Sus scrofa: one gene and its partners. The protein of the gene in region 2 interacts with the protein of the main gene of each other region in a biochemical or structural test. Links are inferred from orthologs where the notes say so. Each region holds a gene or a part of one and is shown on either strand. Other genes may lie near its edges. The genes, in order: GTF2F1, GTF2E1, GTF2B, ERCC3 and TAF6.

What was found.
Region 1: the proteins of GTF2E1 (region 2) and GTF2F1 form a complex in vitro, tested with the Homo sapiens proteins (3 studies listed by BioGRID). The link is inferred for Sus scrofa from reciprocal best matches to the Homo sapiens genes GTF2E1 and GTF2F1.
Region 3: the proteins of GTF2E1 (region 2) and GTF2B form a complex in vitro, tested with the Homo sapiens proteins (2 studies listed by BioGRID). The link is inferred for Sus scrofa from reciprocal best matches to the Homo sapiens genes GTF2E1 and GTF2B.
Region 4: the proteins of GTF2E1 (region 2) and ERCC3 form a complex in vitro, tested with the Homo sapiens proteins (2 studies listed by BioGRID). The link is inferred for Sus scrofa from reciprocal best matches to the Homo sapiens genes GTF2E1 and ERCC3.
Region 5: the proteins of GTF2E1 (region 2) and TAF6 form a complex in vitro, tested with the Homo sapiens proteins (2 studies listed by BioGRID). The link is inferred for Sus scrofa from reciprocal best matches to the Homo sapiens genes GTF2E1 and TAF6.

The regions. Positions count from the first base shown.
Region 1 is NC_010444.4:72,685,283-72,691,159, forward strand, and holds the start of GTF2F1 (general transcription factor IIF subunit 1), read left to right. Parts: upstream 1-2,330; 5' UTR 2,331-2,725; coding exon 2,726-2,737; intron 2,738-2,821; coding exon 2,822-2,868; intron 2,869-3,614; coding exon 3,615-3,687; intron 3,688-5,383; coding exon 5,384-5,577; intron 5,578-5,877. UniProt on the Homo sapiens protein: TFIIF is a general transcription initiation factor that binds to RNA polymerase II and helps to recruit it to the initiation complex in collaboration with TFIIB. It promotes transcription elongation.
Region 2 is NC_010455.5:139,605,673-139,611,733, forward strand, and holds the start of GTF2E1 (general transcription factor IIE subunit 1), read right to left. Parts: upstream 3,812-6,061; 5' UTR 3,673-3,811; exon of another isoform or gene 3,492-3,672; intron 1-3,491. Other genes in the region: RABL3 (rab-like protein 3), read left to right, coding at 3,960-4,005.
Region 3 is NC_010446.5:127,520,612-127,526,773, reverse strand, and holds the start of GTF2B (transcription initiation factor IIB), read right to left. Parts: upstream 3,973-6,162; 5' UTR 3,837-3,972; coding exon 3,820-3,836; intron 1-3,819. UniProt on the Homo sapiens protein: General transcription factor that plays a role in transcription initiation by RNA polymerase II (Pol II). Involved in the pre-initiation complex (PIC) formation and Pol II recruitment at promoter DNA.
Region 4 is NC_010457.5:25,194,800-25,200,203, reverse strand, and holds part of ERCC3 (TFIIH basal transcription factor complex helicase XPB subunit), read right to left. Parts: intron 5,323-5,404; coding exon 5,118-5,322; intron 3,618-5,117; coding exon 3,303-3,617; intron 1-3,302. UniProt on the Homo sapiens protein: ATP-dependent 3'-5' DNA helicase/translocase. Binds dsDNA rather than ssDNA, unzipping it in a translocase rather than classical helicase activity. Component of the general transcription and DNA repair factor IIH (TFIIH) core complex.
Region 5 is NC_010445.4:8,023,079-8,029,167, forward strand, and holds the start of TAF6 (transcription initiation factor TFIID subunit 6), read right to left. Parts: upstream 3,767-6,089; 5' UTR 3,650-3,766; coding exon 3,633-3,649; exon of another isoform or gene 3,507-3,632; intron 1-3,506. Other genes in the region: CNPY4 (protein canopy homolog 4), read left to right, coding at 4,052-4,166. UniProt on the Homo sapiens protein: The TFIID basal transcription factor complex plays a major role in the initiation of RNA polymerase II (Pol II)-dependent transcription.

The DNA of each region.
Region 1 (5,877 bases), on a different chromosome or scaffold from region 2:
CTTCATCTCTCTGCCCCTACCTCCCCGAATCCAACCCCCCACCTCCTCGTGCCCATGAGCTCTCACCATGGGCACCAGGAGTCCCTGCAGCATGATGTCTCGGATCTTCTGGCCCCATCCGGTGCCCTGTTGGGCCTCCTGCCCCAGCAGCTGGCCCAGCCCCATATGGCAGAAGCCATACTTCGTTGCCGTGTTCTTGCACTGTGTCCCTTTGCTACAGCCTGGGCCACCATGAAGATGATCAGGGGGGACTTGAGGATGTCTCTGGTGCCCAGGGAGGAGGGAGTAGGGTTGGTGCCTGGTAGGGGCCGACAGGCACCAAGGTGATTGTAGGCACAGCTTGACAACATGGGACACACAAATGCTGGTGGACTCGTTTTTGCCCTAGGGTGGCATCTACAGGTGCATTTCCACATCTAGCGGCATATCCAGGTAGGGCATGCATTAGTGTTGCTGTGGGTTGTGTGGATAAGGATGTGAATCCGAACAGGCCAGGCCCTTTGCATGCAGCACCTTCTTGAAAGCATCACAATAACCCCATCACCCCATTTTACAGTTGAGGAAACTGAGATGCACAGAGGGGCAAGGACTGGCCCATCCCTCCAGTGTCATTCCATACCATCTTCCCCTTCCTTTACAGTATTTCAGCCTCAGTGGCCTCCCTTCTGTCCCTGGAACTCATTCCTCCCATGATGTTCCTCCCCATTCCCCCCTCCCTGGAAGTCCCTCCTTCAGGTCACAGCTCACCCATCAGGTCTTCTATATGCTCTGTCTAAAGAGCCTCCCATTCCATTATTCCCAGTCTTGGAATCCCATTCCCTCCAGCAATGCCCCGATCAGTAATGATTTTGCCTGTTTACTTGCTCTTGTCTCCCCAGCCAGATCGCTGTATTCCATACTCCATGAGGACAAGGACTATTTGTCTTTCTCATCCCATCTCTATATTTCTTGTCTTTTCTTTTTTTTTAGGGTTGCACCGGGGGCATGTGGAGGTTCCCAGGCAAGGGGTCCAATCGGAGCTACTGCTGCTGGTCTACGCTACAGGTACAGCAACGTCAGATCTGAGCTGAGCCTGAGACCTACACCACAGCTCACAGCAACGCCAGATCCTTAACCCACTGAGCAAGGCCAGGGATCAAACCCACAACCTCATGGTTCCTAGTCGGATTTGTTTCTGGTGCACCACGATGGAACTCCCCGTCTCTATATTTCTAAGTAGTTGGTGTGGTTTCTGACGTATGGTATTGGGTAAGGAATAAATGAAAGTCCATAACTATCAGACCCACCCATGGAGTGCTGTAGTTTATGGTGCAGTTTTGGTGTCTTTGCTTAGCCAACTCCTAGTTTAAAACGTCCCTCTTGGAGTTCCCGTCGTGGCTCAGTGGTTAACGAATCCAACTAGGAACCATGAGGTTTCGGGTTCGATCCCTGGCCTTGCTCAGTGGGTTAAGGATCCGGTGTTTCCATGAGCTGTGGTGTAGGTCACAGATGCGGCTCGGATCCCGCGTTGCTGTGGCTGTGGCGTAGGCCGGCGGCTACAGCTCCGATTGGACCCCTAGCCTAGGAACCTCCATATGCCGCGGGTGCGGCCCTGGAAAAAGACAAAAAGAAAAAAAAAGTCCCTCCTCCCTGAGCCACCTGCTCTTTCCCCGTAGCAGCCCTGTTCTTCCTGGCTTGTAGGTATCATTTTCCGAGACTGTATAATCCACCACAACCTCCAAGAGGACAGGAGATGGTTTGTCATATTCACCATGAACTGCCCAGAACCCAGCCAGCAGGTGCTGAAAGTGGATGGAAGAATGGCTGGTCCCGAGCATGCGAGCATGCGCAGTTGTGTTACTACATGGTGGGGGAGGGGTGTGTGCACACCTGGAATTGGACAGGGAGGGTACTCGTACCTCTCGTACCTCTCTCCTGCCCTCCATAGCCTCCTTCCCTTCCATCCAGTTAGCCAGCCACCTCCGCGATGTTACCCTTCTGGGGCCTCAGGGCCCTGGCCATCTGTGCAGCTTGAACTTGCACAGACCCACTCCGCCAGCGGCCGGTGGGGTGATCCCCACCCAGGCCTTGACCCCTCCTGGCTCGGTTCCAACGTCACAAGGGCTCCTGGCCCGATCACTTGACGAGATTATGGTTTCCCTCCTGGGGCTTAGGGAAAAAATGAACACCAAAGAGACTCAGGTGGAGCCGCAGTGTTTCCGTGCGAAGGAGGTCTCAGGCACCATGGTAACGCGGCCTCCTCGGACTCACTTCCGGAGTGGAGTAGCGCATGCGCAAGGCTTCTGGGCGGCCAGGAAAAAGGCTTGTTTCTCCACCCCTTCCCAAGATGCCCCGCGGTCCTTAATTGGGACGTCACGAGCGGGGTGTTACTATACAGCGTGATTGAGTTATCCGCACTATATATTGCAGTCAGCTGGTGCAGGAGCAGTAGTAGGTGTTGCTTTTAAGTCAGATTCGGAGCCTGTGACGCGGCCCACGGGAGAGTTTCGCTTCCGGTTTAAGTGGCTGCGCAGGCGCAGACGTGGCACGAGAGGCCTCAGAGGCTGACCGCTGTTCCAGCGCCACCCCCGGATAGTTTTTCCTAGGATTGGCGGCTCGGGGTTCTCGATCAGGGACCAGAGAGCCGAAACCTCGAGGGCGGCTTCCGCGGGACCTAGAGACCCTCATCCCGGGGGAGTCGAAAAGGACGAGGATCCGACCAGATTTCTACCATTGCGCATCGCCCATGGCGGCCCTCGTAAGTGTAAGGCGAGGGGTTTCCGGGGTCCTGGCTGCAGCCTTTATACTCCCTCACTCACTGCACTGCTTTCTCTCCCCTCAGGGCCCCTGCAGCCAGAATGTCACTGAATATGTTGTCCGAGTTCCCAAGTAAGTCCCAGACCCCAGTTCCCCGTCTCCTCCCAAAAGGGACTAAGCCTTCAGGCACCTCCTGATTCTCCTTCCAGACCGGTAGCAATCTAAGGGCAGGGCTGAGGTTGAGCCGAGGTGTCTGGGGCATCACTGTTTTTTGAAGAGAGTGAATGAATGAACGAATGGGTGCATTATTAATACACAGTATGGGGAGTTCCGTGTGGCTTAGAGGTAAGAAACCCAGCTAATATCCATGAGGATGCGGGTTCAATCCCTGGCCTCACTCAGTGGTTTAAGGATCCAGTGTTGCTGTGGCTGTGGTGTAGGCTGGCAGCTGCAGCTCCGTTTAGACCCTAGGAACTTCTGTATGTGGCCGGTTTGGCCCTTTTAAAAAGCAAAAAACAAAACAAAAACAGTGCCGGTATGATGCAGCCCCCCTACCTAGCATTCCCTCTGCCACTGCCCACTGTGACTGCTGGGTGGATTCTTGTTGATCCTGGAAATCCTAGTTCCACTATATTCCCTATCTGCCACCTCACCCCCCTTGCCTAGGGCTGAGTTCCCAGTTAGCGCCAGATCTTGGGTTCCTAGAAATCTTTGTCCGTTTTTCTGAATGGAGTTGAGAATATGGATCCCACTTTGCCAACAGACTGGGAACCTCTGAGGTCTTTTATGGGTCCCCAGCATTGCCTGACACAAAGGGCTGAGCCAGGGAGGGTTTACTGAATGAATGACTGAGCACTGCCTCTTCATGTCCATTCCAGAAATACCACCAAAAAATATAATATCATGGCCTTCAATGCAGCTGATAAAGTCAATCTTGCTACTTGGAATCAGGTATGTTGAGGTTCGGAGGGGGTGAGAGAACCCAATCATGGACTTTGTGGTTGTTATAGTTGTTTAGTTGTGATAGTAACCAAGGCTTAGCTTCCTCAGCTCTTCACCATGGAGATAAGTGATGACTAAGGCCGAGGCCAAGTTGCTGAGCATGCCTGAGGGGTAAATGCAGGAGGTTTTCTCCTGAAAGGAGCTGTGCCTACCAGTGGGCATCTTGGGCCTGGATTTATCTGGGCAAGGGAGGGGGCTGCCTCCTACAGATGCTCTAAGAGCCCCCATTGTCAGAGGCTCTAGCAAGGGCTTTGGGAGCTGTCTTAGCTCATTCAGGAGGCTATAGCAGAATACCAGAGACTGTGGTTTCTCAACAGTAGAAATTTATTTCTCACAGTTCTGGAGGCTAGAAGTCTAAGATAAGGGACCAATAGGTTTGGTGTCTGGTGGGGCTCTGCTTCCTGGTTCACACCTGGCTCATTTCACTGTGTCCTTGCTTGGTAGAAGGGGGAAGGAGCTCTCTGGGATCCTTTTTTTTTTTTTTTTTTTTTCCGTGGCATGCAGAATTTGTCAGGCCAAAGATCAAACCCGAGCACCAGCAGTGACCTGTGCCACTGCAGTGACAACGCTAGATCCTTAACCTGCTGCACCACAAGGGAACTCCTCTGGGGTCCTTTTTTTTTTTTTTTTTTTTTTGGTCTTTTTAGGGCCGCAACCACGGCATATGGAGGTTCCCAGGCTAAGGGTCAAATCAGAACTGTAGCCACCAGCCTACACCAGAACCACAGCCACAGCAATGCCAGAACCGAGCCATGTCTGCAACCTACACCACAGCTCATGGCAACGCCGGATCCTTAACCCATTGAGTGAAGCCAGGGATCAAACCCGCAACATCATGGTTCCTAGTCAGATTTGTTTCCACTGCACCATGACAGGAACTCCTGGGATCCTTTTTAAGGGCGCTCATCCCATTCATAAGGCTCCAACCTCATAACCTAATCACTGGCAGGACCCGTCCTAAATATCATCACACTGGAAATTAGGTTTTAACATATGCATCTTGGGGGGACGCAGACATCCATCCATAACAGCAGCCATTAAAGGTTAAACAGAGAAATTGTAAAGTGAACTGGCCACTGAAGGGTCAAAGGCAGGTGAAAGGAGAACAGGGGAGAACAGGGGGAGGTGAGCCTTGATGGGGCTTGGAGCAAACAGCTTATGAGAAGTGGCTGGATTCTGACTTTTCTTTTTAAAAATTCTTTTTCTTACTTTCTTTTTTGCTGCCTCATGGCACATGGAGTTCCCTGGTCAGGGATCAAATCCCAGCCGCAGTGTGCAGCTGTGGCAACGCTGGATCCTTAACTCACTGTTCTGGTGAACCTGTGTACTGGTGCTGCAGAAACAGCATGGATCCCACAGCTCCATAGCAGAAACTCCTCTTTCCTTTTTTTTTTTTTTTTTTTTTTTTTAAACTTTACATTACGAAATGACTTCAAACTTTCAAAAAGCTGCAAAAAAGAGACATAGTACAGGGCTTAACCTAGATCCCTTTACCCACAGTCACTGAGCACCTTTTGGCCAAGCCAGAAATCAGCTCTGAATGGCCACTTCTCAACTTGGAAGGGAGGAAGGGGTGTCGTTGGCAGGGGCAGAGGGGGGCGAGGGCAGGCTCCCTCATGAGAGGTGTTGCTCCCTGATCCCTCAGGCCCGGCTGGAACGTGACCTGAGTAACAAGAAGATTTACCAAGAGGAGGAGATGCCAGAATCAGGCGCTGGCAGTGAGTTCAACCGCAAGCTCCGGGAGGAGGCCCGGAGGAAGAAGTACGGCATCGTCCTGAAGGAGTTCCGGCCGGAGGACCAGCCCTGGCTGCTCCGCATCAATGGCAAGGCAGGCCGGAAGTAAGTGCCTTTCCCGCCCTCACTCCTTGGGTACCCTGGCTGAACTTGCACGGGAACTTGCACGTCCGGCTGTACAGTGTGGGTGACACCTTATCCTTTATTTGGGAAGATGAGCCGAGTGGATGCCAGGGCAGGAGGTCGGAGGGGCAGGATGCAGGAGGGCGAGGCTCAGGTCCTGGTGCTCACACTGAGGGGCTGCTGGGGACCTGGGGGTTGGACGATTGGGAGCACTGGAGGTTAGGTGGCTGGAGGGCCCTTAGGCAGAACAGAGAGCATGGAGGCAAAGAACGCCCAGCCCTA
Region 2 (6,061 bases):
TTATACCCAAAGTACTATACTAAAAAGATATGCCTAAATAATCAATGCATACACATACTTGGAGGGGGGATATAACATACTACCTGTAATAAAGGAAAAAATAAAAGTCAGTTATAACAAATTATATATTTCAGATTGCAAATACTCAAGCACGACTATATATGAGACAACAAAGCAGCACTTAGATCCAAACTTGTGGTCCTGGAGCCTTTCTGTCATCCCAAGGTTTAAGGATGCCAAGCGAGCATCTGGGTTTAACACCAAAGTACCAGATGCATTTTGTTCTCCTTTCCAATTTGGTCTATATGTTGTATTTGAACCTAGTTTGGGGATTTTTGTTTTGTTACATGCTCAACATTTGGCAGAACACAATATATGGCTTCAGAAACAGACCAAAGGATGGCAAACCAACACCAAAATAACCTACTTTTCCATTATTATCTCCCTCTATTACATCTCTCTTCTCTGACCTTCCATTCCATATACTCCATTTTCCAGGTCAAAAGTTCTAAACCCTGGGCTATAAAGCAGAATGATCTGCTGGGATGACAGAAAGGCTCCAGCACCTCAAGACACCTACCCTGGGCCTTGTTTTGAGAGATTCTGTTTCAGCTGGTCTAAGAGAGTAAGATTAGGCATCATACTAATTTTTTAAGCTCTTTTGGTGACCCTAATATACAGAGTAAGTCCCTGACCACTGTTACCAATAAACTGGGTATGTGGCTCTTACTCATCCCACCAAAGCACATCCTGCATGGGGAAGGCCCTGTTCACTTGTCATTCAGCCTGGTACCTTTGCCTAAAACAGCTTAGCTAAAGTGCTAAAGATATGAGCAAGGGAGTGACATGAGGACTCTGGAGTCCCATTGTTTTGAGTTTTGAATCTCAGTTCTACTATTTCTGAGCCTCTGACCCTGGAAAATTCTTGGTCTGTTTCATCATATATAAAAAGTGATTAACAATGTCTTCTTTATAGAGTTGATACATGGAGTAAATGAGATAATATCATGTGCAGTGTTCTGCTTTCAAGGCTGGCATCATAAGAGTTCCATTAAGTGTTGGCCTTCGTAACAACTCCCTACTTAGATAAGTAATTCTTAAAACACTTTGAGAAATGGGCTGAAATAAATGAAGATGGAAGCCCTGTGGAAGTATTAAGAATTATAGTAATCAAACCTAAACTACAAAAGGCAAAAATATAAGAGGACAGGATGAATGAAACTTACAGAGACAAAATCAAAAGGATCCCATAATATATTGCAAATGGAAGATACACAGTAGGAAATTTTTAAATATTTGGGGTTTTTTTCCCCAATTTTTTTACTATGATAAAATATGCACAGCATAAAATTTACCAATTATATATTTTTAAGTATACAGCTCAGTGGTATTAAACACATTCATAATGTTATCCAGCTATCACCATCAACCACTTCCACAGCTCTTCGTTTTGTAAAACTGAAACCTTACACCCATTAATAACATATAGCTATTTGTTTTAAGCCAGTATGACTGGGAAGAGACAAATATACTGAGAAACAGGCTAACACCTGAAGAGGAACAGGTGGAAGAAATGAGGCATTCAGTTCCAGTTGCTTGTGTTTGAAGAAATACTACAGAATGTTACTGTGAAGATGTCCCACAGGTAGCTGAACAAATGAATCTGGAGCTCAGCAAAGAAATGTATGTGCCATCTTGTTCAAAATCGCTATATTCTAAAAATCCTCTTTTCTGACCACTGTGTTCTCTCCTTCACTGCCTCTACTTCCCCACTGATGCTAAATCTCTTCAATCTCTGGATTTTATAATACTTAGGTCAGAGGTCTCAAATTGGCAGCTTCTGCCACATGATTTGACTAATTTTGATTTCAAAATGTTTTGAAAATTTTCTGAATTAGTGGTCAACATTTAAAAATCATGAGATTTGGAGCTACTGTTGTGCTTCAGTGAGTTAAGAACCTGAGTAATGTCCATGAGGATATCCATGCAGGTTTGATCCCTGGACTCGCTCAGGGGGTTAAGGACCCACAAGCTGCAATACAGGGGGCAGACGAGGCATGAATCTGGCATTGCTGTGGTTAGGCCAGCAGCTGCAGCTCTGATTCCACCCCCAGCCTGGGAACGTCCACTAGCCGCAGGTGTGGCCCCAAAAAAGGAAAAAAACAAAAAACAAAAGTCGGATCCTGCATCCTCATGGATACCAGTAGAGTTCATTTTCTGCTGAGCCACCATAGGAAACCCCCCATTTTTTTTTTAATGAAATAAAAATCATGAGATATCACATAAATTTTAATTTTCAGCTACTTCTCAAAAGTGGAAATATCTGAGGGAAAAAGTGAGATCATATTCCCACATGGAAACACTCAGCTGAAGAGCAATTGATACTTTAAAAAAGGGAAGGAGCTTGGCTGGCCTCTGGAGACTTTTGAGTGTGTGACCTTTGGGGGCCATGTCTGGTTTCTTCTTTTTAGTCTTATCAGTCCATCAGTCACCTATCAGTCTCACCTACAACCCTACCCTACCTAACCCAGACCCCTGAAAGCAAGTTGCTTTTGTTTTTAAACCATATGTATTCTAATCACACAAACACCAGGCAGAGTTGTAAGAACAAAGTTGAAAGTGAATGCACTCTCTGTACTGGGTCTAGGCTCCTCAGCCTCATCTGCAGCCACAATGGCATTCTCTCAATTCCAGGAGCCACACATGCTCTCTGCTTCCAAGCCTTTACACACGCCCCCACAACAAAGGCCGAAGTCCCTTCTCCTAATCATTTTTCACATCTCAAATGACATTTCCTCAGAGACACCTTCTCAGATTCTCCCTAGCAGTTTAGAATCATCCCCCTTTCACATGCTCCCATAGCTCTTTCCCCTTCTTGGTGGCAGTGAATAGTTATACTTTCTCAATGTCTACATCGGAGACAAGGGTCTTAATCTTGTTCACCACTGATTTTCCAGTATGGATAACAGCTGGTCAAGTATTTCCATAAAACTTTCAATAGGTCTCCTCAGCACGTGTTCTTCAAACATGCCCACCCTGTTAGCCCTCACCTCCCCCCATTCACTTTCCCCACTGCAGCTTCCAGAGTAAAGAAAGGTAGGGTATTGAAAACCCTCTTCTTAAACTTCAAATGGTTTTAAGCAGGAGGTGACAGCACCAAATTAGCGATTTTAAAGGATTCTGCTGACTGCAAACTGCAAAATGAAGGGAAAGAAGAAGTGGACGTGGGGAGTTCTGTTAGATTTCGATATATTACTATTCCAAATCTGGAATAACGTGGATTCTATACATCCACCTGGTTTTTCTCAGTTAGCCACACTTCACGATAGTCTCCACGGCTTCATACATAAAGTGGCATTATCACCGCGAAACCTCTGGACCAGCCCCGTTCCCAAATGTTCGTTTCCGCCCCACTGTGACAACCACGACGCCCTAAATTCCCTCGGACTCTGCCAGCTGAGTCCAGAGGCCACACTTGACGCAGCCAAGCCAGTCCTACCCGAGGTCGCACATGGGCCGCTCCGGGGTCAATGGTTCTTTGGAGGACCAAGCAGAGAACCGACTCAAAAGAGTAAGGGGGAGGAGGACAGCTAAGGAAAAAGCAACGAAGACACCCTGAAAGGCGACGTCGAACCAGGGAACCGAGGACAAGGAACAGGGAACAAGGTTTACCAAAGCGAATCCTCGTACACTCCCACTACAGCTTCCCTCTGCGCCTCAACTACCGGCTTAAACGAGCCACGCCACTTATGCGACAAAGAAAACGCCATATTCCTGCGACCAGTTTTAGAAACCACCCGCTACTTTTAACCAGGCAGGCCAATCAGCACGGTGAGGCCTTCAATCAAATCAGTCACATTCCGATTGGCCAATGGCATTGAAGACTCGGCCCTCCATACCCAGCTCTGATTGGTCTTCAATCCCGGAATAGGCGTTAACCTCAGGAAGGAGCTGGCAAGATGGCGTCCCTGGATCGGGTGAAAGTACTGGTGTTGGGAGACTCAGGTGAGCCGCTTAACCCACCTTTGGGGCTCCCGACACTTTTGAGTTATATGAAAATCCTCCCCTTTCACTCCCTCTCCACCCATCTGCGGATGAACTGACTCTGGCGGGGGGCTGACATCCCTCTCAAGGCCCAAAGACTACACTTCCCAGAGGACTTTGCTCTGTTTAAGCGAGCCGCGGCTTCGCAAGTGTTGGGGGCGCGGAGCCCGGGCCTTTCTCTGTTTTTTTTAGGTTTTTACATCTGTCTACCAGATGACCGCAGCTTAGTGATCCTTTGTTTTAAAACATATGCGGATACTGAGTGTGGTATTAGACGCCGTGCTGAGACAAAGTTAGGACCTTTCCTTTAAGAGATTTTGTTAATTAAGGAAATCAAACGTGCGCTTAGGAAACTGTACCAGGTGCTTTGCATATATTGACTCAATCCTGAGATCAGGCCCGTTATCCCATTTTACAGATGAGAAAAGAGAGGCGGAGGGCTGTAAATGACAGAACTGGTTTGAACCGAGAGCCTGTGTGCTTAAAACACTAACCTATATTATTTAGTGAAATAGCAGGTAGTAGTAATCTTTTACGCTCAACTGGGCTTCTTGTTTTCTTTATTCTCTTTAATCTTTTCTTCTTTTTTTTTTTTTTTTTTTTGCTTTTTAGGGCCACACCCAGAGTATATGGAGGTTCCCCGGGCTAGGGGTCCAATCGATCGGAGCTACAGCTGCCGGCTCACACCACAGCCACGCCAAATCCCAGCCAGGTCTGCGATCTACACCACAGCTCATGGCTCCAAACATCTGACACAATGTCTATCAGAGCAAATATCCAAAAGTCAACTCCAGAAAAGCATATCTATGAAATGCAAAGTTACCATTTATTCCAAGTTTTTAAAGAGCTTAGGAATGGAGATAATGAGAAACAGAATGAGAGTGAAGTGGAAAGGGGGAAATGAAAACTTCAGTTCCAGTTGTCAAGTGTCCAAGGTGTCAAAATAATTTTAACACTAGGAGTAAACTGGGCTTAGCATTAAGATGAGTATGACCCTCATCTTAATTTTTCTATTTCTTACAACCCAGCACATAAGAGGTTTTCAATTAAGATTAAAGAGAACAGGAGTTCCCCTCATGGAGCAGTGGAAAGAATCTGACTAGGAATCGAGGTTGCAGGTTCCATCCCTGGCCTCGCTTGGTGTGTTAAGGACCCCAAAGAGCCTGAAAAACAGCCCGACCAAACAATAAAGTTGTTGGGGAGAGGAGATGGTTGAGAACATTTTTACATTGCCTGAAGATTAGTTGAATTACAAAATATTTTACTGAGCATTTAATACTCCCTTCAGAAAGTTGCACTTTGAAATTCTATGAACATAATCTAATTTATGTCAGCTTTAGTTCTTTTGCTTGAAGTGGTGTTGAAGTTAATAAAAGCACTCAGTTTTACAGATAAAGAAAGCAGTGCTAGTCTAAATGGACTTTGAAAGAGTATCACCAAGTAAGATTTAGAACTGGAATCCAGAGTTAACAGTTTTTGATCATATGTAAAGTGAGTGCTCTCTCGCATTTATGATTCCTTTTCTTTTGCATCTAACAATCTCTTCACATTACATTTTGTTCAAACTAGTTGATTTATTCTCCCCCCCCCAAAAAAAATTTTTAAAACCTTCAGCATAACAGGTACTGAATTAGATGCTGGGGCTATAACTGTGGAATCAGTGCGTTATGCAACAGGGTTAAATTGGCTGCTGCATTAAATGGGGAAAATGATCAGGCAATTAGTAGGTTTCTTTAAATTATTATAGTTTAGTTGTAAAAGAGAAGACACAGCAGTGCCCACTGGGAAAGTGACTGATCTTGTCACACATTCACTGATGTTAGGCTATATGTGTAAAATCAGTTATTACCTTTTTATCAGTTCTCTTTTAACAGTGATTTGCTATGTGACAGATTTGAATATACTTTTTACACTTTATCTGCCTTTGTGTTTAAACTTCAAAGTTTGCTTTTGAATAAAGGCTTATTTACCCCGTGAAAATTTGAGGATTTTGCAAATATATAAAGGGATGACTTGG
Region 3 (6,162 bases), on a different chromosome or scaffold from region 2:
GGCGAGTCAGCGACCTGCACCATAGCTCACAGCAAGCCGGATCTTTTTTTTTTTTTTTTTTGTCATTTCTTGGGCCGCTCCCGCAGCATATGGAGGTTCCCAGGCTAGGGGTCGAATTGGAGCTGTAGCCACCGGTCTACACCAGAGCCACAGCAACATGGGATCCGAGCCTCGTCTGCAACCTATACCACAGCTCACGGCAATGCCGGATCCTTAACCCACTGAGCAAGGCCAGGGATTGAACGCGCAACCTCATGGTTCCTGGTCGGATTCATTAACCACTGTGCCACGACGGGAACTCCAAGCAAGCTGGATCTTTAACCCACTGAGCGAGGCCAGGGATCAAACCCACGTCCTGGTGGATGCTAGTTGGGTTCGTTAACCACTGAGCCACGACAGGAACTCCATTAACTTACGTTTCTTAATTATTTCTGGGGATGTGACCTTACAATCATAAAATGTCTGCTATCATTGAAAATAACCCCTTTTTAAAAGTTCCCACCTGAAATACTATAGAACAGTTATGTTTTAGCCATCACAAATACACATGTAAAAAGACAACATCAACCATTCTGAAACCATGTTAAACAGGTATCTGTGAATTTGGATAGTTTCTCAAACTACCAAGTACAATTCAGAATGTTAACTCTCAACAGAGGTACTTCTGGAGTTTCCATCGTGGCGCAGTGAAACAAATCCAACTAGGAACCATGAGGTTTCGAGTTTGATCTCTGGCCTCACTCAATGGGTTAAGGATCCGGCGTGAACTGTGGTGTAGGTCGCAGACGTGGCTTGGATCCCATGTTGCTGTGGCTGTGGTGCAGGCCGGCAGCTACAGCTCTGATTAGATCCCTAGGCCTGGGAACCTCCATATGCCTTGGGTGCGGCCCTAAAAGGACAAAAGATCAAACAAATCAAAGATAACAGGTAATTCCCGCTAAAAAATTGATAAAATAATCCACATTCCAAAAATTTATATAATCAGGTTAACCAAAACAGGTCTTTTCACTGGGAAAATAAAGGATGGAAGTTTGCTTTATATTCATGCTTATTCCATAAATTCCTATTAGGAAAATATTTTAATAAATTGTAACAAATAAAATATTAAGAAATTGGCATAATTATAAAAGGTTGTCAAAGGAAACGTCGGCAGAGAACAGAAATTACAAATGTATAAAATGGGCAGCTGTGACACACAGCATACATGGGACCGACACATTCTGCACTATTAAATGGCAGAGAGAATATCACATGCACATATATGAATATAAAAATGATATAAAACATGTCGAAGATGGGCTAAGCGGAAAGAGCACTGCAGAGATTTTATAGAAAGTGAAAAAAGCGTAACTACAATTACACGAAATAACATGAATGAATCTCAAAATGCTGATCAAAAGACCCCCACAGGGGACGACACGTGCATTTATACATAAAGCTTCCATCGGGTAAAACAAATCTATGGTGTTCGAAGTCAGGCTGTGGTTCTTCTCAGGTGAAAAGCAAAGGGGCAGAGAGCGTTCCTCTTCGACTGCTCTTTGGAAGGAACACAGGTTAGGACTACACGTTTGCTAAAGCACAGAATCCTTCGGAAAACTCGGAGCAACTGGCTACAAGGGCTGCTCTGGAGAAGACTTAGGAGCCAGGAGCTCAGGAAGGAAGGAAGCTGCTGCTCACTCTTCTTGGGTGTGTACAATTCGCACGTGTGTTACTCAACGCAAAATAAAATGAAACTACTGGAAACAGTCCACTTCTAAACAAACTACCCACCAGGGTAACAAATGAGGAACCTCAAGAGTGGGGTGGTGGGAGGACAAAGGGGGCACAAGAGGGAAGAATCCAGCAAACTGCCCCCACTGACACTGGAACAATTAGGCGACCTAAGGAGCCAGGCAGCTCCCAACTGCACTCTCCAGTATTTTCGGGAGGCCTACTGTGTGCCCAGTACTGTACACAGATTACTCATCTTCACAGCAACCCTGCAAATTAAGCAATGTCTCCACTTGATTTTTGTCTTTTTAGGGCTGCACCCACGGCGTATGGAGCTTCCCAGGCTAGGGGTCCAACGAGAGCTACAGCTGCCGGCCTGCACCACGGCCACAGCACACGGGATCCTTAACCCAATGAGCAAGGTCAGGGATTGAACCTGCGTCCTCCCGGATACAGATCAGATTCCTTTCCGCTGAGCCACAACGGGAACTCCCACAATATCCCCACTTTAAAAACAATGCTCACAGAACGATTTTCCTGAAGTCACAGAATCAGTAAGTGGTAAAGTGTAGCTTTGAACTCAGAGTATTTCTGTTCTCCGCTTTGAAGACAGCAGGCCGTTCCAGAGCCCAGTACCTGTACATCTTCCTCAGGGAAAAGCTCACAGCACAAATCCTAACATTTACCTTTGTTCTCACTGGTATATGGAGAGACAGACAACCGCAATGACATATTTAAGATCCGGACATGCCCCGAGAAACGTATTTCAAGGACGTTTTTAACAAATGGAGACAATGAGGGCACAGAGAGGACACGTGCCATGTGTTCTTTCAGTAAAAAATCCATCCAGTGAATGTGCTGCATCCAGCTGCTACAACATTTCCTTCAAACACAAGTTTCTGCTCTGTTATCTACAAAAGCCCCACTGTGACCCCCTTTCCCACCGACTGCCCCAGCAGACTGTCAGCTGTTTTCAGGTGTCTTTGGGAAGCTCGTTCTCCATTTACCTACAAGGAAGCCTTACCTGACAGAGCCACACCCAGACAGAACGTTCAATCCCAGAAGTACAATCAGTAAACAAGTGTCACTGGCTTTGAGAGCTGCCTCCAGTTGTTTTAGCTAAAGCCCTCTCCTCCTCCCTCCTTGCTGAAATACAGCAACAAAAAGTAATGGGCCTTGGCCGTCACCAGAAAGGGCCTGGATTTCTCCAGCTTCCTATTTTGTGATAATGGCTTTCACAGGGAATTCAACGCCACAGACGATACCAAGCTCAGAAAAATCATGCCAGAGGTGCCTGTCTTCTAGAAGCTACAGAACTGGATTTGATACTTTCAATACATTCTGAGTAACGAGAGGCCAAGTACGGTAACAGAAAAGAGACGCTACACTGTTCTCACATTAACCTCGGAAGAGACACCACTGGTACGACTCGGTGTATTTACGCTTGGGCACAAACCCTAGTATCTACCTCACAGTGGTCACGAGGGAGGCAATTAGGGTCTGCAAGCATTTCTCAGGTCACAGGACTAAGGGCCGTCTCCATGGCACTGCATCCATTTCCTGCAGATTGGACTACACCACGCTCAAAACCTACAGAAGAGAGGCTTCCCCGCACACGTCGGTCGTCTTCCGCAGGCAAGCCTTTCCGGAGCAGAACGCAGAAGACGTGCGGACAGGAGCCTCCCACGAGAGAACGCAGCCTCGCTCAGAAAGGCCCCGGCTCCCACCGCGCACCTGCGGGACGCCAGGGACGGCCGTCCGCCCCAACCCTCCGGCTGTCAGGTCGCCGGCGGCCTGGACCTGACCCTTCCCGCTCTTCGGGGAGGAGGAGTCACGGCCCCTCGGGCTGGTGGAGCCGCAGACGGAAAACAGGCCAAGAAGTTAGCCGAACAAGACAGGACGGCTGGACCAGCTGCAGAGGACGCGAGGCCGGGGCCGGGACCCGGGAGCCCCAGACAGGGAAGCGCCGGCGGCCGGTACCCCGCGCCGCCCCCGCGTCGGGAAGCGCCTTTGTCCCGGCGGCCGGCCGCCCGCCGCCTGTCCCCGCACCCCGGCCCTGGGGGCCCGCCCGCCGCCCGGCCTCGGCTGCCCGGCCCCCCGCAGGCTCACCGGCTGGTCGACGCCATCTTCACGGCCCCTCCGGCTCCCGACCGGCGACGACGACGGACGCCCGCAAACAGGAAGCGCTTGCGGCGACGAGACGCGGCGAGCCGAGCTTTTATAGGCGAGCCGTCCACGCAGGCGTCATCGGGCGCGGCTACGGGTCGGGAGAAGGGCCAAGAAAGTGAGCTCCTGGACGCCACGTGCTTTGCGTTTTCTCATTTTCCTTTTCGGTCTCGGTGGTTTCCCGGTCGCCGGCACATCGAGGCAACTACTCAGGAAAACGCTCAAGGGCCCCAGCAAACGGGCTACACCTGACACCCTCAACTTGGCTGGGTCAAAACACCAGGACAACCCGGGCTTTGGAGGGGGCAAAGCCCTCACCCCCCAGGGCTAACCACCCCTCCCCCGCCGGGAGTCGGCGCTCAGCTCTTACTTGCCCAGAGGGCGATTCCACCTAGGTATTTGGAATAAAGAGGAATGCACTTAGGTCAGCCCAGATGTCAGTTCAGGCTCAGTCATCCCCTAGCAAGCTGTGTCTTCCTTCGCCCTTCGCACCTGGGGGCAAGAGGCAATAGCATCTGCCTTGTGTACCCTTTTAGAATTGGCAGGAGATGAAACAAACTGTGGGAGAGCATTGTGCACCCGTGAGGCAGGGAGATGCGGGCCTTACCTTCCTGTTGTTGTCATGGTCTTTGCAACTTGGGCATAGCTGAAATACAGAGAATTTACCAGAACGTTCAGATACCCCAAAAGTCCCTAAATTTATTAAATACCCAAACTAATGGCACAAAATTAATAAAAACAACAGCAACACTATCACTACGTCGTTGAAAACAAACTACCCTTGGCCCAGTGGGAATAGAGGGAAAAGGGTTTCTGTGGGGATGAGCACTTAGAATACTGCGGCTGCTTTGTTCTTTGGGGCATGGAACTGACACCACTGGGCAAACGTTGTTTCCTTGAAAGGTGGGGAAGTCTTGCTTCCTTAGAAAGAAAAAGGTGTGTAAGAGGGAGAAGTTTAGGAACTCATATAGGAGTGGGGATGGGGGAGCTTTTTTTTTGGTCTTCCCAACTAACTCTGCAATTAAAAACCCTGACTATTTTTGTGGGGGCTTTTCTCCCACAATATCTGGTAAAGCTTCAAAACACCAGAGTTCCCGTCATTGCTCAGCTGTTGACGAACCTGACTAGCATCCATGAGGAAGCCGGTTTGATCCCTGGCCCTGTTCAGTGGGTTAAGGAGCTGGCACTGCTGTGGCTGTGATGTAGGTGGGCGGCTACAGCTCCGATCTGACCCCTAGCCTGGGAACCTCCATATGCTGCCGGTGCGGCCCTAAAAAGCGCACACACAAAAAGCCAATTCATCTCAGCTGTGCCAAATGTTACCAGGAGAGGGCTTGCAGGTGCTGCGCCCCAATCTGGCAGAAGTTTCCATAGCAGAGCTTCTTGCCTTGGGAGAAGGGTGAGAGGAGGAGGAAGGGAACCAGGGGGGCACTCTTGAGCGTGAAGATAAGGACCCACCACCCGGTGGTTTAGGGTGGGCATTACATGAAGGAAGAAGCTATCAGAGAAAGTGAAACCCCAGAGGAGGGAAGCTGGGCAACTGGTTAAATTACACCTGCCCCACCTGAAGAATCTCTTATCTGTCATAACCTACTTAGGATGACTTTTATATTAAAATAGAAGCAGCTTAGGTAGGCCATTCCTTCTTCTCTTGTTAGTATAGCGTTGGCAATTTACAAAGCATTTCATCAACATTATCCCACTTAATCTTTGTATCTGATCCTGAGATTGAAACACACAGACTTGGGGTTTTGTCACCTAGGAGTCAATGACCTAGACTAGCATTTACCAAAACTTAGGAGTTGTTCATATAATCATTTTTATTTAACTTAATGATGTGAATTAATTAACCTGATTTATTTCAATCAATTATTTAAACTAACTCACTTTTTAAAAAAATCTTCTTTTTAGGGCCGCACTCAGGGCATATGGAGGTTCCCAGGCGAGGGGTTGAATTGGAGCTACAGCTGTTGGCCTACACCACAGCCACAGCAACGCTGGATCCGAGCTTCGTCTGTGACCTACACCACAGCTCACGGCAATGCTGGATTCTTAACCTGCTGAGCTAGGCCAGGGATCAAACCCGCATCCTCATGGATACTAGTCCGGTTCTTAACCCACTGAGCTATGATGGGAACTCCAATATGTTGTCTTTTGTGTCTGGCTTCTTCTAGACTTGGTGTGGGTTATGGAGGTTCATTAGTTTATCTTTTGGCCTCACTTTTGGAAACGCTGATAAATAAGTGTCTGTTATAAAAGTGTCTACATGGTGATATTGCAGAAAAT
Region 4 (5,404 bases), on a different chromosome or scaffold from region 2:
AACCAAAACTTCCTATAGCTTCACTTTTTAAAATTCTAATACTTTAAAGGAAGGTGGAAATGTTTGTCATGCTTATCTTATGTAAAATTAAAGACAAAGGTGAATGATACTTCAGAGATAGACATAACAATATGAGGGAAAAGAAGGTAGATTTCATCAAAACCCAAACCAAAAATAGGGAACAGTGGAGTTCCTGTAGCACAACAGGATCAGCCTTATCTCTGCACACCAGGATGCAGGTTCAGATCGCAGCCCAGCACAGTAGGTTAAAGATCTGGCATAGAGGAGTTCCCGTCGTGGCTCAGTGGTTAACGAATCTGACTAGGAACCATGAGGTTGCGGGTTCGATGCCTGCCCTTGCTCAGTGGGCTAAGGATCCAGCGTTGCTGTGAGCTGTGGTGTAGGTCGCAGACATGGCTCGAATCCCGAGTTGCTGTGGCTCTGGCATAGGCCGGTGACTACAGTTTCGATTGGACCCCTAGCCTGGGAACTTCCATATGCCGCAGGAGCAGCTCAAGAAAAAGCAAAAAGACAAAAAAAGATCTGGCATAGGTACAACTGCAGCTCAGATCTGATCCCTGGCCTGGTAACTCCATATGCCTGGGGGTGGCCAAAAAAGAAAAAATATATATACTATCATCTGAAATAACAAAGGGCTGTCTAACCCCAAACATCCATGTCTTATAGAGCTTCTCACACTGAAGCCTAACATGGCTACACACACACTTGGAAAAAAAACAGGGGGAGTTCTCTGATGGCCTAGAGGGTTGAGGCTCCTGCGTTCTCACCACCGTGGCTCTGGTTGCTGCTGTGCGGTGTAGGTTCAATTCCTGGCCCAGGAATTCCCACATACTGCCTGTGTGGCAAAAAAGAAAAAAAAAAAAAAAAACAAGAGAGAACCTGAAATAAACGTTGCAACTCTCATTTTAAAAAAAGCAACAATAACAACAAAAAAAAACAGGGCTAGGGTTATCTCCAAGGACTGTGCCAGCTCCAAAAAAGGGCAGCCCAGGACCCCAGCCCAGGTTCCCACATCAGAAAGACATGGCAGCCCAGGCAACGGAGACACCAAACTAATGTGGGCTCCAGGGAGGTGGCACTGGGGGATTTTACCCACCAGGAAGGCAGGACCCTGACTGTAGGCTCTGCAGTCAGAAAGCAGCCCTCCCTGAAGTATCTATACAACAGCCCCATCCTGCTGCTGCATCCTTACAGCCCTAACGGCTGACACAGGGAAGGATGCATGTACTAAGCAAACCAGACTCCAAAAGCTCCCAGGCTCTCCCTTACAGGCAGCCCCCCCCAGCCCCCTGACCTGTTGTCATCACTATAGTTCTGCCTTTTCAATGTTAGACCAAAGGAGTCACCCTGTAACCACTCAGGCCTGCCTGCCGTAATACAGCACCCACACCGCAGGCAGCGGGCGTCCCTTTTCCAGCAGAGCAGCGTCCCAGTGGACAGTGCCCCAGCTGCCCAACCAGCCTCTCCCTGACAGGAGTTTCCCTTGTTTCTAGGTTCTGGAGATTATGACCAGAACTGCTTTAAACATTCATGCACAGCTTTTTGTGTGACCCTGTTTTCACTTCTCTGGGAGAGACGCCCAGGCTAGAACCACCCAGTCACGTGGTACTTTTCTAATGAAGCCCCAGTGACTGCATTTTGCGATTTCTCTGGCCTCGTCTGATAGGTTCATTTGCTCTGCACTCTTCTCAGTACCTGTACAGTCAATGCTTTTATTTCTGCCACTCCAACAGGTATGCAGTGGCAACTTACCAAGGGGACCAAAGTAGCTGTACACCTTTCAAATGCTCACTGGTACCTGTATACTCTCTTGGGTGACAAGTCTACTCAGGTCTTTTGCCCATTTTCTAACATTTTGGCCACTGCCTGATGGTCTAACAGGCAATCAAATAAACGTGTCTAAAACATGACTCCTGATCATGTTTCTCCAGAGGAGAAGGCTTCCCCATCTCCATGAACGTCTACTCCTTCCAACGGCTCCAGCCCAAACCTTATGGCAGCCTTGCCCTCTCCCTCCTTCAGAGCCACATCCAGCCTGTCAGCTTAGCCTTCACCACAGAATCAGAATCAGACTGATTCGAGCCTTGGGCTGGGCTTCCACAAGCTAAGCTGCCTGGCTGCTTTCCACCCACTTCCTGGGTCTCTTCCCAACCCAGAAGCCATTAACTCAGATCACCCTCTGCTCAAACCCCTCAAGCAGCCTCTCACCCAGAGTCCAAGCCAAACGCCTGCTTTCAGGTCCTACAGGAAGTCCAACACTCTCAACCTCAGCATGACTACTGCCCTTGTTCCTCTAGCTCCAGAGCTGTACTATTACCCCTGCAGGACCACTTCCTTCTACCTGAAAGATCTCCCTACCGGGTGTACCAGCACCTCCGGGTCTCTGCAGACACCCACAGTTCCAGGAGGAGCTCTTGTTTCACAGGAAAAAACAGATGGAAAGGCCATTTTGACCATATTTTGAATGCTCTATGTGAAAATGCCTCCGATTTCACTGAATTCAGAGTAAACTCTAATTTACACTGCTTAACTGATCAGGGCTACCCCTTAATTTGTTATGCCTGGAATACCATTTAGTAATAAAAGGAACACATTACAATGTGGACAAAAAATTACATGAAGCCAGGTACAGGAAAATACCTATTATACGATTCTGTTAGTATGTTTCCAGAAAAGGCATGTCTCTACAAAGAGAAAGCAATTCAGCAGTTGCCTGGGGCTAAGGATGATAACACTGCAAGTAAGCGAGTATGAGGAAGATGCTCTAAAACTGGATCATGGTGATGGCCGCACAAACTCCATCCCACTAAAACTCTTAGATTGTATACTTATAATGGGTGGATTTTATGGTTTATAAATTATATCAATATGGCTGTTTAAAAGAAGGATCACCTGCAATATTGGACAAGTAAGGCTTCTATAACATATTAAGAATCAACGCTTTAGTCTTCAAATAAAACAAGCAGTACTGTAAGTACCTTTTTCTCCTAGTCTGGGTTTTTCTGGACCATTAAAAAAAAGGGCAGAGGGTTAAAGGTAAGTTGAAACAGAAGAAGGAAGAAAATTTCACTTTCTAAATGACTACTCTGGGGCCAGTGGTTAAGGAAGGAAGTGTTCAGTGTGCACCCCCCACCCTGTGCTTATGACTTATTCAGAAGCCTCATCTCGCAAGTATTTCCAGCAAGATGGATGCACTGCACAGCCAATCCTCCCTCAACCCAAGAACTGGAAATCAGTCTGTCCACACGCTGAGTGGGCATCTCTGCTCTCAGCCTGCTCACCAGGTATGGTGTGGACTTCGTCCAGGATCATGAGGCCCCACTCTTGAGTCTTCAGCCATTCCATCACCCGCTCAGCCTCCCAGGACCTTTTGGTGGTGTGGCCCAGCATGGAGTAAGTGCTGATGGCGATGGAACAGCCTATGGGCTTGTCCTTGGCATCGGAGGTGAAGCGGCAGATCTGGCTGTCATCAATGGTGGACCACATCTTGAACTGGGCTTTCCACTGCTCCACAGACACAGCTGAGTTGCCCAGGACCAGACAGCGTTTTCTGACAGTGCACGCAGCTGTCACTCCAACCAGGGACTTCCCAGCGCCTAGGAGAAACCAAAGGGCAATCCTACCCAAGGCCCAGTCAAGATGAAGGAGGACAGAGAGGACTCAGCACATGCATCTGGCCAAAATTATTTGTAATCATCCTAACAGCTAGCACTGCTGAGGTGCTTGCTGCTCTGAACTTGTTTCCTTCTTTAGAAAAAGGAGATATGTCTTTTCACACACAGATGTGAGCATTAGGAGAGACAAGGGCCAGGCAGGCCCTACTAGAGCACTGTACATGCACCTTGTTTAAATACTGAAATACACCATTTGTCAAAACCAACCACAGGTGAAAGGCCATCTGAGACATGGGAAGACAGCAGCCAAGGTGTCACGTGCCCCAGGCCCGGGAAGGGTGCTGCTGGGATACAGTGCACCCAGGAGACCACCTCAGGAGGGACTTGGTAAAGATGCCTATGAGGACTGAGCAGTTGACTGGGCCAAGCACCCAGGAATGTGGGAGCAGGCAGCTGATGGCAAAGACAGAGGAAGGAGAGTCCAGGGCTTCCCAGGCTACTACTATCTACCACTGGAAGATCAAGATTAAAGTTCCTCTGAAAGCTCCCTTTGTGGCTCAGTGCTAATGAACCTGACTAGCATCCATGAGGACGCAGGTTGGTTCCCTGGCCTCCGCTCAGTGGGGATTAAAGATCCAGCATTGCCGTGAGCTGTGGCTCGGATCCCATGTTGCTGTGGCATAGGCTGGTGATTATAGTTCTGATTCGACCCCAGCCTGTGAACTTCCATACGCCATGGGTGCACCCTTAAAAAGACAGGGGAAGAAAAAAAAAGGTACTCCTTTAAATAGCAATCATTCCTTTACTGGGGATGTGCCTCGAAACAGCCCATGGAGCTTTAAAAAAAAAAAATCTGAAGATGTAGGCCCCTTCGCTAGTCTGCCTTCTTGAGTCTGGGGTAGGGTCCCAGCAGAGTCTGCTGTGACCTCTGGCCAAAAATCTAGGCCAGACCTGACATGACCAAGAAAAATGGTAGCAGTCAGGTGCCAGCAGGCTGCTACTGCCCTTTCTTGGAAAAATGGTAGCAGTCAGGTGCCAGGGGGCTGCTACTGCCCTTTCTTGCTACTGCCCTGTAATAAGCAGTCCAGGAACAAAGTTGCTGGGCTCGGAAGCCTGCAAATACACATAACTCAAAAGAGAGACTGAAAAGAATATGACCCTAACCCCAGTATATAACGTCCCACAACACCTGGTTCCTCTCAGTCCAAGGTCTCATACTGTTTGGGTGACACATCGCATCTGTCCCAACCCTACCACATGAGCTTCCCGAAGCCAGGGGCATTGCTCCACCCTGATCACATCCCAAGCTGAGGCCAGGGCCCTGCAGAATAAGCTCTCAAATACCTGTCTAGTCATGGCCTTAGCTGTTCCCTGACCAGGTATGATTTAAAGAAAGGTGCCGGGGGCGGGGGGGGGGGGGGTAGCCTAAAGCAAATCCAGACTGAGCAGCCTAGCCATCTCCTTCACTCAGGCATGACTTACCACAGGGCAGAACAATGACCCCTGAACGGGCACGGCCATTCCCAAACATCTTCCGCAAGCTCTTCTCCTGGTAAGGTCTAAGCACAGCGGTGGGTTTCAGGTCAATGTTGATATCAGGGTTGACAGAGTCATTCCGGAAGTCATATTCTGCCAACAGAGGGTACTCCAGATGGATGCAACGTTTCTGGAGTTCCTCAATCATTTCCTAGAGTGAGTATGAAGGAGGTTTGATAATCTTAACTCCAAAGCGTGCTCACAAAAGGCAGGACATATTCTAAGAAGCCTAA
Region 5 (6,089 bases), on a different chromosome or scaffold from region 2:
GTCTTTTTTCCCCTAAGGTTGTTAATGTGCCTGCCTTCATCTTTCTTGCCCTTTCTTGCATCATTATTCATGCTTGACAAAGATACAGTATTGGTTCAGTACAACCCTCCCTCTGAGCCTATATGCCTATACAATTGAATGTGATGAGAAAATGCAGTCATTTCTCCCACCTTAAAAAAAACGAAACGGTGGTCCTTCCATATGGTGGAATATTATCCCTTTTTAAAAAGGAAGGAGGGAGTTCCCCTCGTGGTTCAGTGATAGCGAGCCTGACTAGTATCCATGAGGACACGGGTTTGATCCCTGGCCCCACCCAGCGGGTTAAGGATCTGGCATTGCTGTGGCTGTGATATAGGCTGGCAGCTACAGCTGCAAAGTGAACCTCTAGCCTGGGAACTTCCATATGCTGCAGGTAAGGACCTAAAAATAAGTAAATAAATAAAAAGGAAGGAAATTCCTACACACACTGCAACACGAATAAAACTTGAGAACATCAGGCTCAGTGAGATAAGCCAGTCACAGCAGGATAACTACTATGTGATTCCAATTACATGAGGCTCATAGAGTCGTCAAATTCAGAGATAGAAAGCAGAGGGGTGGCTGTCAGAAGCTGGGGAGGGGAGGAGGGGCAGTTACTGTTTAACAGGAACAGAGTTTCTCTTTTACAACATGAAAGGAGTCCTGGAGATGGATGGTGGGGAGGGTTGCACAACGATGTGAATGTACTTAATGCCACAGAACTTAAAAGTGATTCACTCAAAAATGGTTAAGAGGGGAGTTCCCGACGTGAAGCAGTGGGCTAAGGAGACTGCAGCTGCTTGGGTTGCTGCAGAGGCATGGATTCGATCCCTGGCCTGGCACAGTGGGTTAAAGGGCCCGGTGTTGCTGCAGCTGTGGCACAGGTCACAGCTGTGGCTCAGATTCAATCCCTGCCCAGAGAACTTCCATGTACCGTGGGCGTGGCCATAAAAAGAAAAAAAAAGAAAGATGGTAAGTTTTATATGTATTTCACAATTAAAAATTAAGGAAAAAACTTTTTATTCCACTTTTCTGCTAGTGATACTCTGGTTTTCTTTGGTTCCTTGCAACAAAACTCCCTGAAAGACTGTCTTATCTCTCTTTCTAATTCCTCTCCTTTTCTCTTGAACCTACTCCAAGCAGGATTTTGACTCCTCTAGGTCCTTGAAAGCACTCATCAGGTCACCGTGGGAGTTCCCTGGTGGCGTAGTGGTTAAGGATATAGTATTGTCACTAGAACTTTCACATGCTGAGGCCACAGCCAAAAGAAAAGTCGCAGAGACTCCACACTGTCAAATCCAAAGTCCTCTCAAATTTCCCCATCTTATTCTACCTCTTAGTGGCACAGAGCATAGTTGCCTGCTCCCTTCTGAAAACACTGTCTTTACACCACTGCCACCCCACCTTCTCTTGGTTCTTCCTCCTACCTCATGGGCCACTCTCTCTCCCTTTCCTTTACTGGTTCTTCCTCTTCTTATCTGCTTGACGTTGGAGTCTGCTGGGCTCAGTCCTTGTATAGTTATGAGCTATACTTATTACCTTGGTGACCTCAACCACTCATAGCTTTCAGTATCATAGGCTGAGGATAGTAAAAAAAATTCTTTTGGCCTCACCCGCAGCATGTGGGAGTTCCCAGGGCAGGGACTGAACCCACACCATAGTAGTGACCCCAGCCACAGCAGTGACAACGTGGGACCTTAACCTGCTAAGCCATAAGAGAACTCAAAGAAGACAGCATATTTATATTCCCAGCCCAGAGTTTTCTTCCTAACTCCGGACTTCTATATCAAACTGTCTCCTTAAGGAGCTCCTGTTGTGGCTCAGCAGGTTAGGAACCCAACTAGTATCCATGAGGGTGTGGGATTGATCCCTGGCCCTGCTTAGGGGTTAAGGATCTGGCATTGCCATGAGCTGTGGTGTAGGTCACAGATGCGGCTTGGATCCCAAGCTGCTGTGGCACAGGCCGGCAGCTGTGGCTCTGAATGGACCTCTAGCCTGGGAACTTCCACATGCCGCAAGTGCAGCCCTAAAAACAAAACAAAACAACCACACACAAAAAAACCTACTAAAAACCTCTTCTAAAAATGAACTCCTGATCTCCCCATCTCCATCTCTTCCAGCCTCAGCTTTCCTCATCTTCACAGCAATGCCATTGGTCCAGGTGCTCATTCTTTATGTGAGTCCTCATATCAAATCCATCAGGTGATCCAGCCTGATCTCTCCATTCCCACTGCATGGCCAGGTCACTCTCATCTGTTTCCCAGGGAACTTCACTAGCCTCCTGACAAGGTCTTCTTCCATTCTTACTCCCTCTATCTATGCCCAACATAGCAGCCAGAGTGATTCTGTAAAAATATAAGTCAGATTGGGTCATTTCTCTGCTCAAAACCCTATAATGGCTCCCAATGTGCCAGAGTAAATCCCAAATCCTCGTTACCATCTACAAGGTCCTTGGTGATCTGCTCTCCCCCCATCACATCTCTGACCTCCTTTCCTTCCTTTCACACTGATCCAGCCCCACTGTCCTCCTTGCTGTGATGGCCTTTGCTCTGTTCCCTCTGCTTGGAATGCTCTTCCCCAGATGTCCCTGGCTGCTGATTTCTATCACCCTATTCACTACTGCACCCCACCTCCACTCTGCTTTAAAAAAATTCCCATGGAATTTAATATCTGCTAGTACACATTGTATTACTTCTTATGACTACATCTCCCTTTTCCTCACCGTGTCCACAGAGATGTTCGGTGTTATGTTCACTGATGTATTCTGAGACCCTAGAATGGAGCCTGAGACACACTAGATACTCAGTAATAAACATTTGTTGAATAAATGAATGAGTTGTAATACTTAAACATGTACGTGCTCAATAAATACTCGGTACCACTATTATCGAATCAACAAGACATAGGTCCAAGCTCGGAATCTACTTTTGTGGCCAAAAGGAAAGTGGCTCGCTTGAAGTTGGCATTAGGAAAGCTAATGTCAAAAGTGTTTAGGACTCACTGTGGGGTGTAGGTGGGGGGCGGGTGTGGGCCTACTGGAGGGGGCGGGAAGATGAAGGTGAAAGACAATTTAGTTCTCAAACTATCCCAAGTCTCCTCCCCCCTTTTACAAGCCTTATCTGCAGGGAACACACTTATTCAACACATACTCTGTGTCTGGAGCCGGGTATATAGGAGGCGATGGTGTCCCAGTTCCCTGGCGAACTCCCATTAATCCTGCAATACCCTGCGGTACCCTCTGCCAGTAAAGGCTCACAAAACACGCTACGGCCTTAAGAAACCTCAGGCCAGTGGAGTCGGCAGGAAGGCTTCACTGAGGGTTAACTTGACCTAGATCCATGTGGCAGTCTCCCCAACAGGGAAGCGGTTCGAAGGTCCCCGGGCAACGGGGACAGCGCGAAAGAAGGCGTAGAGAGCCCCCCTCATCCCCCCAACATCCCTCCAGTGCACACACACAGAGTCCCAAAGCGCAAGGACACACAACCAACCGTCCTCCTGCAGTCCCCACTCGGGCCCTTCAAAGGGCCTAATCCCGGGTACCACTCAGACCCGCCCCCGCCAGCCGAGCTCCCCGCGCAGGAAAAGCCTCTCACCGCCGCCAAAGCGCCGCTCACCCGGCGCTCGGCGCCATGTTGGCCCCGCCCCCTCCGGGCGCAGGTCCTGGCAGCGACCGAGAACAGATTACGGCCCCTTCCCCAAGCCGGAATAAGCCCTCTGGGCTCACGGCCTGAAACAATATAAAAATGGTGTCTCTGTGCCTACGTGTAAGGAGCACACCCTCTTGATGTAATTACTTCAGTTTATTCCTTCACTATCCGGCGGCCAGGACCTTCGGGAGGCGCCACAAAACCTAGGCGGGGAAGCCCGGAGCGCAACGAGGCCCCGCCCGCTATGGGGTCGGCACTGCGCGTGCGCCTCCTGCCTTGCGTTGGATTAATGCTGCAGCAGACACCTTCGGGATTTAAAGGGCCCGCTGCCTGTCCGGAGTTGCTTTGAAGGCAAGGGGGTGGTTGGTTGTGGACGACCCTTGATCATGGGACCTGTGCCGTTGGGAATGTTGCTTTTCATTTTGACTATGTACGGTGCTTGCGCTGGGACAATGAAGGAGGAAGACGATGACACAGAACGCTTGCCCAGCAAATGCGAAGGTATCTAAAGGGAGTAGCCCCTATTCGCATCTCTCTGCCCCACTTCCTTCGTCTGGGCCAGACCAAATGGACTATGATGGGTGGGTCACTCGACCTCCTTAAGGACCCGAGGGAGATGCTTGTGGAGCCTGATGGAATTCGAATGGGGTCAAGGGAAAGAATGCATAGCGCTCCTCCCAAACTATGGTACTACAATTCCCATGAGAAATTCAGAGGGAGCCTGCTTGTTCTTGCTGGTTTGGGTCCCAATGGTTTGTGGGAATTGTAGTTCAGAGACTATCGGTCCAGGACCGCCCACTCTACTGAGCATCTTCAATGTGTGTCTGTATGAGTGTGTGTGTATGTGTTTTCCGTATGCCACCAGACCTAAATCTGGGGAGCCTGCAGGAATGGGGTGTCAGGCTCAATACCTTGTGGACATCCTCTGCTCCACCCTGGCAGAGACTGTCCCAAATTACAGGCCTCATGCTCTCCTGAGAGGATATAGGAGTGAGTAAATCAGCCCTTGAAGCTCATAAAAGAAAGAAGAGGCCACACAGCTGGGAGAGGTTCCCCATAATTGTAAGGCTTTGAAGAGGGTGTGCGCTGAATGGATTTTACAGTGAGCAACATCTTCTGTGGCTGCATCACTTTTGGGGCCTAGCTGGGAGAAGACATTTCAGATCTGGACCATCGAGTGCCCTGGTTTCTTAGTTTGTTGCCTTCCTGGCTTTAATTTCTTCCTGAATTCTTTTCCCCTTTGCCTCACTGCACACTGCACTTCAATATCAGTGTTCCTCACTACTTAGTCCTAATCTCTCCTCTCCTTTCATTTGTGTCTCCATTCATACCCTCTTACACCTGTCAGTTTTTCTAAACATAGTCTTAATTGTGGTCTTTGCTTTAACACCTCTTCAGGCCTCCTGCTGTGATTAGATTACAGCCAAAGTCTTGGCCATAACATCCAAGTCTCTTTGTTGTCTGGCCTCCATCTCTCTTACATTTCCACACCCCACCTCCCATCCCCAAAGTGCCCATGTTTCAGCCATCTTAAACTTCTCAGTGCAACTGAGACTGCCTCATCCTTTTGCACGTCTGTGCTTTGCACGTTTTTCTTTTTCTTTTTTTTTTCCTTAGCCTGGAATGATCCTCTTCCTTCTGAATTTCATTCTTTAAGACCCATTTTAAATGTCACCTCCTTTGGAAGCCTCCTTCCTTATTTGTCACCTCCCACTGAATTGGAGAGAAGGAGAATACCTGTGTTTCCCTGGTCCTAGGATAGTGCCATAGACATGCTTTAGACACCTGTGTCACCTGTCCATTTTTAGCTTGCCTGGCACATAGTGGGCCCCTCCCTTTCTTGGGGCCCACTGTGGGCCAGGTCACATGCTGGAAAGACTGGTGGAGGAGACACAATGCTCACCCTTAAGGAAACTGTGAGCTAGAAGGAAGTCATTGAATGAAGTTTGCATTTCCTAGTGAAATTAAGCTTCTTGGTCTTAACCCCCATTATAGGGTCCATCATTACACAATATTATCATCTTTTTAATCTGTCCCCAGTGACAATGGCAATATCCAGGGGATAGGGATTATGGATCTTATTGCTCTCTGTATTGCTGTTGTTCATCTAGGAGCTCAGTAAACAACTACAAAAAATAGCCAACTGTGGCTCAGTGGGTTAAGAATCCGGTGTTGTCAACTGCTGTGGCTTGGGTCACTGCTGTGGCATGGGTTCGATCCCTGGCTTCGGAACTTTTGCCAGGCACTATTCCAGGGGCTTTACGTAAATGGATTTAATCCTCACCAATTTAGAGGTAAAGAAGCTAAGGTACAGCAGGACTGTCACACAGCCAAATGGCTGAGTCAGGATTCCAACCTTGTCAGGCCGGCTCCAGGGTTTACACCTATAACCATCATGCTCTGCTGCCTTTGCTCATCTGCAAA